Arabidopsis thaliana: one gene and its partner. The protein of the gene in region 2 interacts with the protein of the main gene of each other region in a pairwise test. Each region holds a gene or a part of one and is shown on either strand. Other genes may lie near its edges. The genes, in order: AT3G50560 and AT5G14910.

Region 1 (5,741 bases), on a different chromosome or scaffold from region 2:
GGTGCGAGAGCAATCATGAGAAGAAAATAACATAATGTCTATATTTTGTTTTGTTTTCACTTAGAGAGTTTAAAAACGAGAATATGATGAGAATGACCAGACTTTATGTTATTTTCATAAGGTTGTGTTCATAAACGGCTAAACTCGGTTTTTTAAAGAAACTAATAATCTGATATTTTTATAGTAAAGACACATATTTAGCACTAGCCACTATATTATATGGTTTTGTAGTCTTACTGTTTATTGAATAATTTAGAACACTGTATATTTTTTGTTTGATGTTAAATGATTAAATATGTTAATATCAACTTAATATGAACTTAACTAAAAGACTCGATCATATAATGCAATGCACACACATGAATAATTATATAAAGGTGATATCGAAGGGCGTTACAAGAGAATGGAGGAAAGATTTGAGAAGATTTAGACCAATCATAGATGATATGGGTTAGTTACTCAGTTACCAATATCTGGTCCCATGTATAATGACATAATATTTGTAATTAGTATCTTATTGCCACTTTTTCATATATATATATATATATATATATATATATTTTTGTTCAAGTTTATCTCCTCCGTATTTGAAAGATCCTTTTTGTTGTTGCAAGAATCTATCAATCCTTATCTTCCGCAGTTCACATTCACATATCCCATCTAAGATATCTCATATCAGTCGTAGGATAATCTTTGATAAATCTAAAAGCAAGAGTAATGTTAATCTTTAACAAATAAAAGAAAGAGTAATGTAAGTTAATTTGAGTATATTAAAAAAAAAATGCAAGAGTAAATGTTCTTGATCATTCATAATTCTAAAAGCACGAGGGTAATGTTATCGGCAATCCTAATCACCTTTGTTAAGGATATAGTAGTGGTGACACGAACACAAATAAATATAACTTTGTAACCGATATAAGAATCGGTGACCATTATTTTTGATTCCCTTTTTTTTGGTAACGCTTTCCATACCGCTTTGTAATTAGTCATTCTAAAATCAGTAAGCTCTATACCGCAACGGTAAAAAAAAGTTATCAATCAGAGCCCACATTAAAAACTAAATTAAATATAAGGATATACATGTCATGTAATGTATCTAGAAACTTCGATGAAATACATTTGTATGTATATGTTTGAAATGCCTATGAGCTGTTGACAGAAGAGGAAAGGGGGCAGCAAATGTCCAACTTGTAAGACAAAAATAAAAGCCAAATCTATATACAAAAATCAAAAGGGGTAATCTCATAATAATAATCCCCTTAAAAAGAGAGCATATGGGTCAACCTATTTAATAAATTGTTATCATATTCATTACTTTTCTTCATTTCTTATAAGAAATATATATAAACTCTTTAAAATGTGCATACAAAATTCCTTAATTTTATGTGAAAGTTATTAATCATCAATAAATTAAGTTTTAACATCACATTAAATTTAACATTACAAGCCTACAAAACAATACTATAAGGGTTCTCTCCTACTCTTTCCTATAATTCACAAAAGTTTCTATAGTTTCTTATTATTCAGAAATGCATAAAAATACTATTAATTTTTAATGTTAAACAATTTAGAACGACCAAATCATAAAAAAGTGCAATGAAAAATTCGCATATGGTATATTGACCAATAGATCGAAATAAAATCCTCGACCACGTAATTTACAAAAGTCGGTCGACCTTATATGGGTCTTTTCGAAACATCTTGTAGAGTCTAACAAGTAAGAACCAATTGCTATATTTTCTTCCACATGACATGTCTCTTTGTCTAAGAACCACACTATCCATTGGACAGTACCATCTTTCACCTAGAACACATATATTATATATATATAGAATATTAATAATTCGATAAAGGTATACGTATACTTATGCAAATTGTTACATCATTGCAATGTTAAAATTATATAATTGCTATCAAAGGAAATGAAACTTTTCTGATATAATGACAAAGAAAGGTGTGTATATATGTATATATAACAACCAAAAATTTATCTAGTCCACAAGAATATTTCTCTCTCTCACTCTCTCAACACAATCTTATTAAAGGCCTAGGTTAAGGGGACACAACATAAACTAAAATTTTCTTATAATTATTTTTCACTATTTATCGATTTTATCCATAGAGAAGTAGCTATAAAGAGAAGAAGGTGGAGAAAGGAAAGATCATAAAGTATCGATGATGAGAAACGTAGGGAGTTCGAGCTCTGGCAGCAAAGGCATAGCGGCCGTAGTCGGCGTTGGTCCAAAGCTCGGTCGCTCCATCGCTCGGAAGTTTGCTCACGAAGGCTACACCGTCGCCATCCTCGCTCGTGATCTTGGTTTGATTCCTTTTCTTTCTCTCTTTTCATTTTGTTTTTTGCTTTTCTTTTTATCCATATCTTTATCTATTCATACACTATACACACCCACATGTTTCCATGTATAAATATGATTTTTTCTATATATGTTCCCATGGGAATTTTCTTCTTCATTTTTATTCCAATGAAGAAAAGGAATTGCGGCAGTTTTCTTCGCAAAATGAGTTATTTTTGAAGCCTTGAACAAACAAAAAAGGAGAGTTATTTTTAGAATGTTTTTCTTCGCTGGATTTCTGCTTTTGGCAAATATTAATGTGGCTGACTCACACCACACAGTCACACACACACACTGACACACATACATGCATATTAATCAATATATAATTTATAGTCAAAAGGTGCATTTTAAATGTATATTTGGTTATAAAAAAAAAAGATTTTGGGTTTATACATCAGTATTCACTATTCAGTACTTCACTATAGGCTTAACTGGTTCGTAAGACATAGTACTAATAGTGGAAATTTTTCAGTGTAAATAAATGTGTCGATAAATTCAGCTTTTTAAGAACCAGTACAGTGAAAACTTATTTGATTAAATTTAAATAATTTTGTTTTTGTTTGACACAAAAGATACTTTTTCATTCTGTTCGGTGATGAGAACATTAAACTGGTTTCCATTTGACTATAATAATAAATAGTTTTCTTCATCCCTCCATGTATATGAAATAGTTACTAAGTTACGCCCATCAGCTAATATTAATCACAAAACGGTGCACTTATTGCCGATCCACTACAAAAAATATATATAACACTTTTTTTTAGTAACACTTAAGGATATACTCAGGTTGGTCACTCTCTTAATATAGTCGGGTAAATTGTGCAGGTAGGTTATCTAGAGTAGCAGAAGAGATAGCAAGAGAAGAGAAAGCACAAGTGTTTGCTATAAGAATTGATTGTGCAGATCCAAGAAGTGTAAGAGAAGCCTTCGAAGGAGTATTGTCGTTAGGGTTCGTGGAGGTTTTAGTGTACAATGCTTATCATTCTTCTTACGCAAGTCACCATCCCACTTCTTTCACCCACATTCCTTTTCAATCTTTCCAAACATCTATCTCTGTCTCTGTCTTCGCTGCATTTCTTTGCGCTCAACAGGTGATATTTCTTGAAATCGCGATTAGTTATTATATACGAAACAATATTATGTTTTCTTTTGAAATCCCTCGCATGTTGGTCATGGCCCAAAAACCCTAGAATATAAGGTTTGATCAGGATAATCTTTGTATTGACTCATAATTTATCAAAAACACTTGTTAATATTATTGGAAGCGTCATTTTTTATTAGACTTTTAATGTTTTAGTTAAAATAGATAAGATTATTTCCACAAGAAGTAAATTTTTAATAGATTACTTAATCATTTGTTGATGTGCTAGTTGTACCAAATCCTGTTTTTATTTTATGTCAGGAAGCAGAAGCGTAAATGTTATAGTGAATGATTTCGACACTTCAATTTCTTTAAAAAGCTTCTTATTTCTAAGGTTTATATTTGATTTATAATAAATGGTACCAAAAGGTTACTCCCGGGATGATGGAGAAAGGAAAAGGAACTATACTCTTCACCGGTTGCTCGGCGTCTTTGAATGGCATTGCTGGTTTCTCCGAACTATGTAACTTTCTCAAGATTTTTAAAAATGATTTTATTTAAATTTTTCGCAAAAAAATATATTAATTAATGGGTTAGTCACTGAAGAAAATATATGAAATTGGCACAGGCTGTGGGAAATTTGCGTTGAGGGCACTGTCTCAATGCTTAGCAAAAGAATATCAAGCTTTTGGAATACATGTGGCTCATGTTATCATCGACGGTGTGGTTGGACCTCCAAGGTACACACAATTATGTGATCATTTTCCATTATAATTGAATTAGAACCACAAATATCTGTCCGAAAAAGGCTCTTTTAACTTTTTATACCTTCCACAAACGGCAAGATTCTGATCCAAACCGACAAGATTCTTACCTCAAAAAAAAATCGCAAATAAAGAATCATGTAGCTCCACTTCTTATTTATTTGCTATTTTTTTCTAGCAAATGGAAACCATTTTTTGATTCCATAGCCTCTATTTCATTATCTTCTATCGGTCAAATATGAAAAAGAGTCCCCACACTCACAACGGTCCACTCTATTGACACATTTAAGCATTTGAAGATATTACAAAATGAAATAGTATCGCATATATAGATAAAATCTCTTGAAAATGTGTTTTCAGAGAAACAAACATCCCTCCCCGAGGAATGGTCGCAGAGCAATCATTCAACGTAGGAGGCGAAGATGGAGAAGGAGAAGGAGAAAGCTCGGGAGTGATGGGAATGGATCCTGATGTATTGGCTCAAACTTATTGGTATCTCCATGTTCAAGACCGGAGAGCTTGGACACATGAACTCGATATCCGACCATCAAACCCAAATTTCTAGCTAGTACTTAAAAAAAAATACAAGTTGATTGGTTTATGATTTTATTCAATGCTATTTTAGCCAAATGTGTATGTATGTGTATTCTTGTGTTTGTAATGTAATTAAGTATTTAAAAGGGTTGGTTTATGATTGGCGTGAATAAGCTATCAATCTCTTATCTATTAATAGTTTCATTTTGTTCTTTAGTTTGCATGACTTTAGAGATGATGGTTTTGTCTTGTCGGCTAAGGCTTGAACTTTTTTTGTGGCATTAAGTTTAAAAAGGTACAAGTGCCTTGGTGTTTAAATTCGGGACACAAGAAGATCCGACAAGTCATGTGAATGGACTTAAGATCCGATCACAAAATAAAAAGGGACCCCCTTAAAGGTAAACTAGAAACAATGGTCCTTAAGTGTTGTCACGTCAAGGAACTACTCTATGTTTCGGGGTCCATTTTTTCACACGAGAGTAAAACTTTGGTGATAGTCAAGTCATCAAGAGATCATTAACGAGTCTTGTAGCTTTCTTATACTTCTAGAATAACAAAATAAAAGTACAGATAAGCATTGGTGACAAGAACACACTGAGAGTTTTCTTTGACTACACATTTGTGCTAGCATTGTGTTATTGTATTGCGTAAAGAAGCGAAAACTAGACCAGGAACAGTGAGTTAAAGAAGTTGCATGCCACCCCAAAAATCATGAATACCGGTAGTTCGCTAAGAGTAGGCTTAGTACAATCATAAGACGATCATATATGACAAGCGAACTTATGAGTGATTCGAACACAAGTTTACAAATAGTCTTTGGGGCTAGCCATTCTAAAATCGTTAAACCCTCTGAAGAAACTTATATAAGTGTGAAGAGAACAATAATCTCCATTGCATTAACAAATGTTTTCGACATCTCTGGTATTAAGAGCATGTATAGAAATAGTATATGATTTACCTTAGCAATAGATGATCTTTGATAAACTGCTTCTTTCATGCTCCTACCTT
Region 2 (4,663 bases):
AAATAAATAGCATTCGATTTGCCCATAAGGCTGTGTCGCTTATATATTTCATATAAAGAGGCTCTTCACTTCGATTATTGCACCAGTGAGCAAGGGTTTGTCGTTTATGTTTAGCTAACTTAGCAAGCATGGCCTACGAGATTACTACTATACTTTGTTTTGAAATATCTAAGCTATATGGTATATATCTTTCATATTTTCTAATAAAAAATTAAGTGTTCTCAAATCATAGATGGACAATAGCACATGAGTTCTTTAAATGGTTGCGGTGATTATTATTATTATTTATTTATAATTCTGATATTTTCGAAAAAGAGGTCAACAGTGTAATTAAAGTGAAATCGACAACGAGTACATACATATTTTTTATCATTACATATGTCGCGAGTACACACACTTTCCTCTTTTCTGTTAACATGATAAAATTTTGTTACGAATGAATGTTTCTTATCTTCTTTTACGTAATGAATAAACTAAAACAGACTCCACGATGACATAGTTTCATAAATTAAGATGTTAAAACAGAGGATTGTTTCACATGTTTTGGTAAGAACAGGTTTTTGGTCTATAATATCACATTTTTTAAAAAAGTAAAGATTTGGGTTATAAGTACAACAATGCATGAGCTGTGATTCACCATATCATCAACCACAGTACTCCACAATGTCAACATCGTACATGCATACATATACATAGTGACAAATGACAATCATATCCACACACAAAACTAAATGCATTGTACAAAGCAATGAACCTAAAAGTCTATAAAAATGCCAACCTCCATGCTTTGTGGGAACCCATATGTATATGACCCACTAATCAATATAGATATTTTCCATTTCTCTTTTATTTCAACAAAGAAAACATTAATTCCCACTTTCTAAAAAAAGTTACCACATTTGTTTTCTTTAGAGGAACAAATGAAAGAAATTATCCCTAGAATTGAACATTATGAGTTTCTTTAATCACAAAATGGAGGAAAAGGATGATTTCACTAGACAAGAACCTCATCGTCATCTTCAAAACTCAGATTCAAAGTCTGTAACTTAAATCCAGCTCCTTGTATAGTCTCCACCAAGTTTGACGCCACTCCTGTTGCTTGAACCGTTGTTTGCTTCAAAAGCTTCACATACATTGATCACAACATAAGCCAGATTCAATTGTACAATCAAACATAGAGATGTTGCTACGAGCAGTAACAGAACCGTTCATATAAAGGCCTTAACTATTCAAGGTCAGGCTCGAGGCTTTTGTTATACGGCCCCAAAGACTAATCCCCTGGTTAACCACCAAAATGTACAACAAAATGACATATTTGACCAGTCCAGTCCTTCTAAGGGTGTGCCAGCCATTATATCTCTAATAACATATTCAACATCTGTCCTTATCTATTTATATCCTCTAAACATATATGTGTACTGTGTAGGGGTGTGAAGAGACATGTAAAGGCAATGTTGGATGTAAAACATACCTCAACGACGGCAACACCTTCAGAAACCTGAACCTTTAAATTGGAAACTCCATCAATATCCTGAAAGAACAAAACAAGTATCAATTGGAACCTTTATATTCACTGTTTTTGTAAGCTATAGGTACTAAGGAAGATTTAGAGCGTGGAAAGAGTAAAGTGAACACCCAAATTCCAAGTTTAACACAACTACAAAGATTAAATTGAATTGAAACAAGTAACCAAAAGGGTTATATAATCCAAGAACCAGATGCATTCACAAAGATTCTCGTCAAGCTCCACACAGATTTGCTAGTTCAAGGAGAGATTACAAAGCAAAGTATTACCTGTAAGGCCCTTGTCACATTAGGAATAGCTGCTTCGTTCAAAGTTCCATCAGCCTTCATAATCAAGCAAAAAATCCAACAATGTTCAGACTCAATTTGAGGCCACATGAAATTGCAACAGAGTAATGCTCATAGTATCTTCAAAACAGTATCAATACAATTTTGCAAACCTCATTTCTAAGACCTTATAATACAACCATGAATCAATCCTACTATATCTATTAAAAAGCCATAAGTGGAGAATGAGGATGATAATCACACAAATTCACTGGACAGAGAGTGATGTACCTGGAAAAACATGGTGAGCATGTCTGAAGGAGAGACAGGAACAGAGACAGTCTCTTGCGGTTGCTCCTCTGCGACAGCGACACCTTCTCCTCCTTCTCCAATAGACGAAAGCTTCCTCAATCCAAGGCGATTTTGTTTTATAAACCCAGCAAAACTGCAATTGCGGCTATTTCCGATAGCTCTGGTCCGAAAGTTGAGGTTTTTCGACAAAGGAAGAAGGTGGGTCGAAGAAAGATTAGGGCTTTTGGTTCTGCAAAACGAGTGAAAGGTAGAAGAAGCTGCAATCGACGCCATTTTTCACTACTGACCCAATCTTCTTTCACTCGATAAGGTTGTGCGAGTTACAAGAGAAGAAGGTTTTTTCATTTTTGTGTTTTGCTCTTTTCTCACATTATCCACTCGAAGCAAGCCTGTAAAAAGACATAAATACCCTTTAGAAAAGCTCTCTTTCTGTCAGAAGGTTCATAAATTCATGGAGTAATATAATTTTTGACCATCAAACATTATATTACTCCTTGCAAATGACAATGACAAACCTTGCAAACACAGTTCTGACCTTGAAAGGACTTAGTGTGAAAAACTTGGTACGCTTCGATCTTATAGATTCTCCTGCTCCTGATACCCTCGCTCGGGCCTTGGACGATTTGTATCATTTGGGAGCACTTGATGATGACTGTAACTTGACAAAGACAGGTGAGATGATGAGTGAGTTTCCTTTAGACCCACAGATGGCAAAGATGCTCATAGTCAGTCCTCAATTCAACTGCTCAAACGAGATTCTTTCGATTTCTGCGATGTTATCAGTACCAAATTGTTTCATCAGGCCAAGAGGAGAAGCTCAAAAAGCAGCAGATGAAGCCAAATCTAGCTTTGCACACATTGATGGAGATCATCTCACACTTTTGAATTTGTTCCATGCTTTCTTGCAAAACAACCAAGACCCAAATTGGTGCTGTACAAAGTTCATCAACTACAGAGCAATGAAGTCTGCAGTTAGTGTTAGAGAGCAGTTGGTCCGGATCATGTTGAGGTTTCAGATTAAGTTGTGTAGCCCTGATTTCAACAGCAGGGACTACTACGTCAACATAAGAAAGGCCTTGCTTGCAGGTTATTTCATGCAAGTGGCTCACCTAGAACGCACTGGCCACTACTTGACTTTCAGAGATAAGGATGACCAAGTGGTGCACTTGCATCCTTCCAATTGCTTGGATCACAAACCAGAGTGGGTAGTTTACAACGAATACGTTTTCACTAGCCGAAATTTCATCCGAACCGTCACACATATTCGCGGTGAATGGCTTGTAGATGTTGCACCACATTACTATAAGCTTGCTAACTTTCCCAGTTCTGAGGCCAAACGAGTTCTTGAAAGGCACTATAAGAAGAGAAAACTGTCAGAAGAGAGGAGTTGTAAATTGTATAGCAATTCTTAAAGAGAAAATTTTGTTTTTAATTACATTAATTTTGTTTTTTTGCCATTGTGTAAGCTAAATATATCTGCAACTTGCAATGAAAAGCTTAGTTCCAACACCAATGAGATGCTTCCAGCTGCATAAAAACTCAGAGCTAAACTTTCACATCATTACCTTATTAGTTGAATAAGATTCCAATACCCATATCCATCCCTTAATTCAGGGTAATATGTCTAAATCACTAAGCTATTACCACTTATTCTAAAAGCATATTGTTCATCAATTTTAGCATCTCTGCAGAAGTAATAAGATCCATAACGCTATACCGTCACTTTAAATCATACTGCACCTAATTAACGGACAAGATGGACAACATTTAAAAAATATAAGATCCACCAACGATATAAAAAATGTACAAGTGAGTAGTAGCTAAAACGTAAAAAAGTTTCTACAGAAAAAAAAAAAAAAAAAAAAAAAAAAAAAAAACTGATTCAACCACAAGACAAGATCATTGTCTGAAACATTACATTGTGTTTAGTTTTCTGAACACATGAAACTGTAGGAAATCAGCAGAGGTACTTAGAAGTAAACTCTAGCTTTTGGCAAGGTTCCAAATAGGAAATTGCATAAGGTAATTCTACAACAATGTAATGTACCTGAAAAAAACATGGTGAGCATGTCTGAAGGTAGAGACAGGCACAAAGACAGTCTCTTACCGTTTCTGTTGCTATTCCTCTGCAATTGCAACCTTCTCCAACCCATTAAATAGCTTCCTTTCTCCTATTTCTTGTTGGATTATATACTGTATTTTACATAAATATATAAATATATGTTTCCTACCTTCATCATGTCTTTCTCTAAAAAGTTTATCTTTGTGTGTAGAATTACAAAAATTGATCACTAACAATTTTCTCACAAAATTTGATCAAATAAAGTTAATCAAAAATGGGAGAAAATAGTGATCAAATAAATAATTTCATTCAAAGTGAAAGAATTACAAAAAACAAATAAATGAAAGCTGTGTAAAAAAGTAATATTTCTTTGCAAAGAAAAAAATCCACTGTTTCTTCTAATGTATCTCCCCTTTCATCAGTGCGGTGCACGTTAGCGCCAGCCCATTTAGAACAGAGCAGTACCGGAACAGAGAAGCGCGTGACATTTTTCACTTA

The links.
Region 1: the proteins of AT5G14910 (region 2) and AT3G50560 interact in a two-hybrid assay, tested with the Arabidopsis thaliana proteins (one large-scale study listed by BioGRID).

The regions. Positions count from the first base shown.
Region 1 is NC_003074.8:18,760,270-18,766,010, reverse strand, and holds AT3G50560 (NAD(P)-binding Rossmann-fold superfamily protein), read left to right. Parts: upstream 1-1,954; 5' UTR 1,955-2,175; coding exon 2,176-2,317; intron 2,318-3,179; coding exon 3,180-3,445; intron 3,446-3,864; coding exon 3,865-3,958; intron 3,959-4,063; coding exon 4,064-4,175; intron 4,176-4,559; coding exon 4,560-4,764; 3' UTR 4,765-5,005; downstream 5,006-5,741.
Region 2 is NC_003076.8:4,821,528-4,826,190, reverse strand, and holds AT5G14910 (Heavy metal transport/detoxification superfamily protein), read right to left. Parts: upstream 2,610-4,663; intron 2,493-2,609; 5' UTR 2,377-2,492; coding exon 2,083-2,376; intron 1,849-2,082; coding exon 1,795-1,848; intron 1,532-1,794; coding exon 1,472-1,531; intron 1,124-1,471; coding exon 995-1,123; 3' UTR 539-994; downstream 1-538. Other genes in the region: AT5G14900 (helicase associated (HA2) domain-containing protein), read left to right, coding at 2,610-3,515; AT5G14895 (NHL domain protein), read right to left, coding at 4,657-4,663.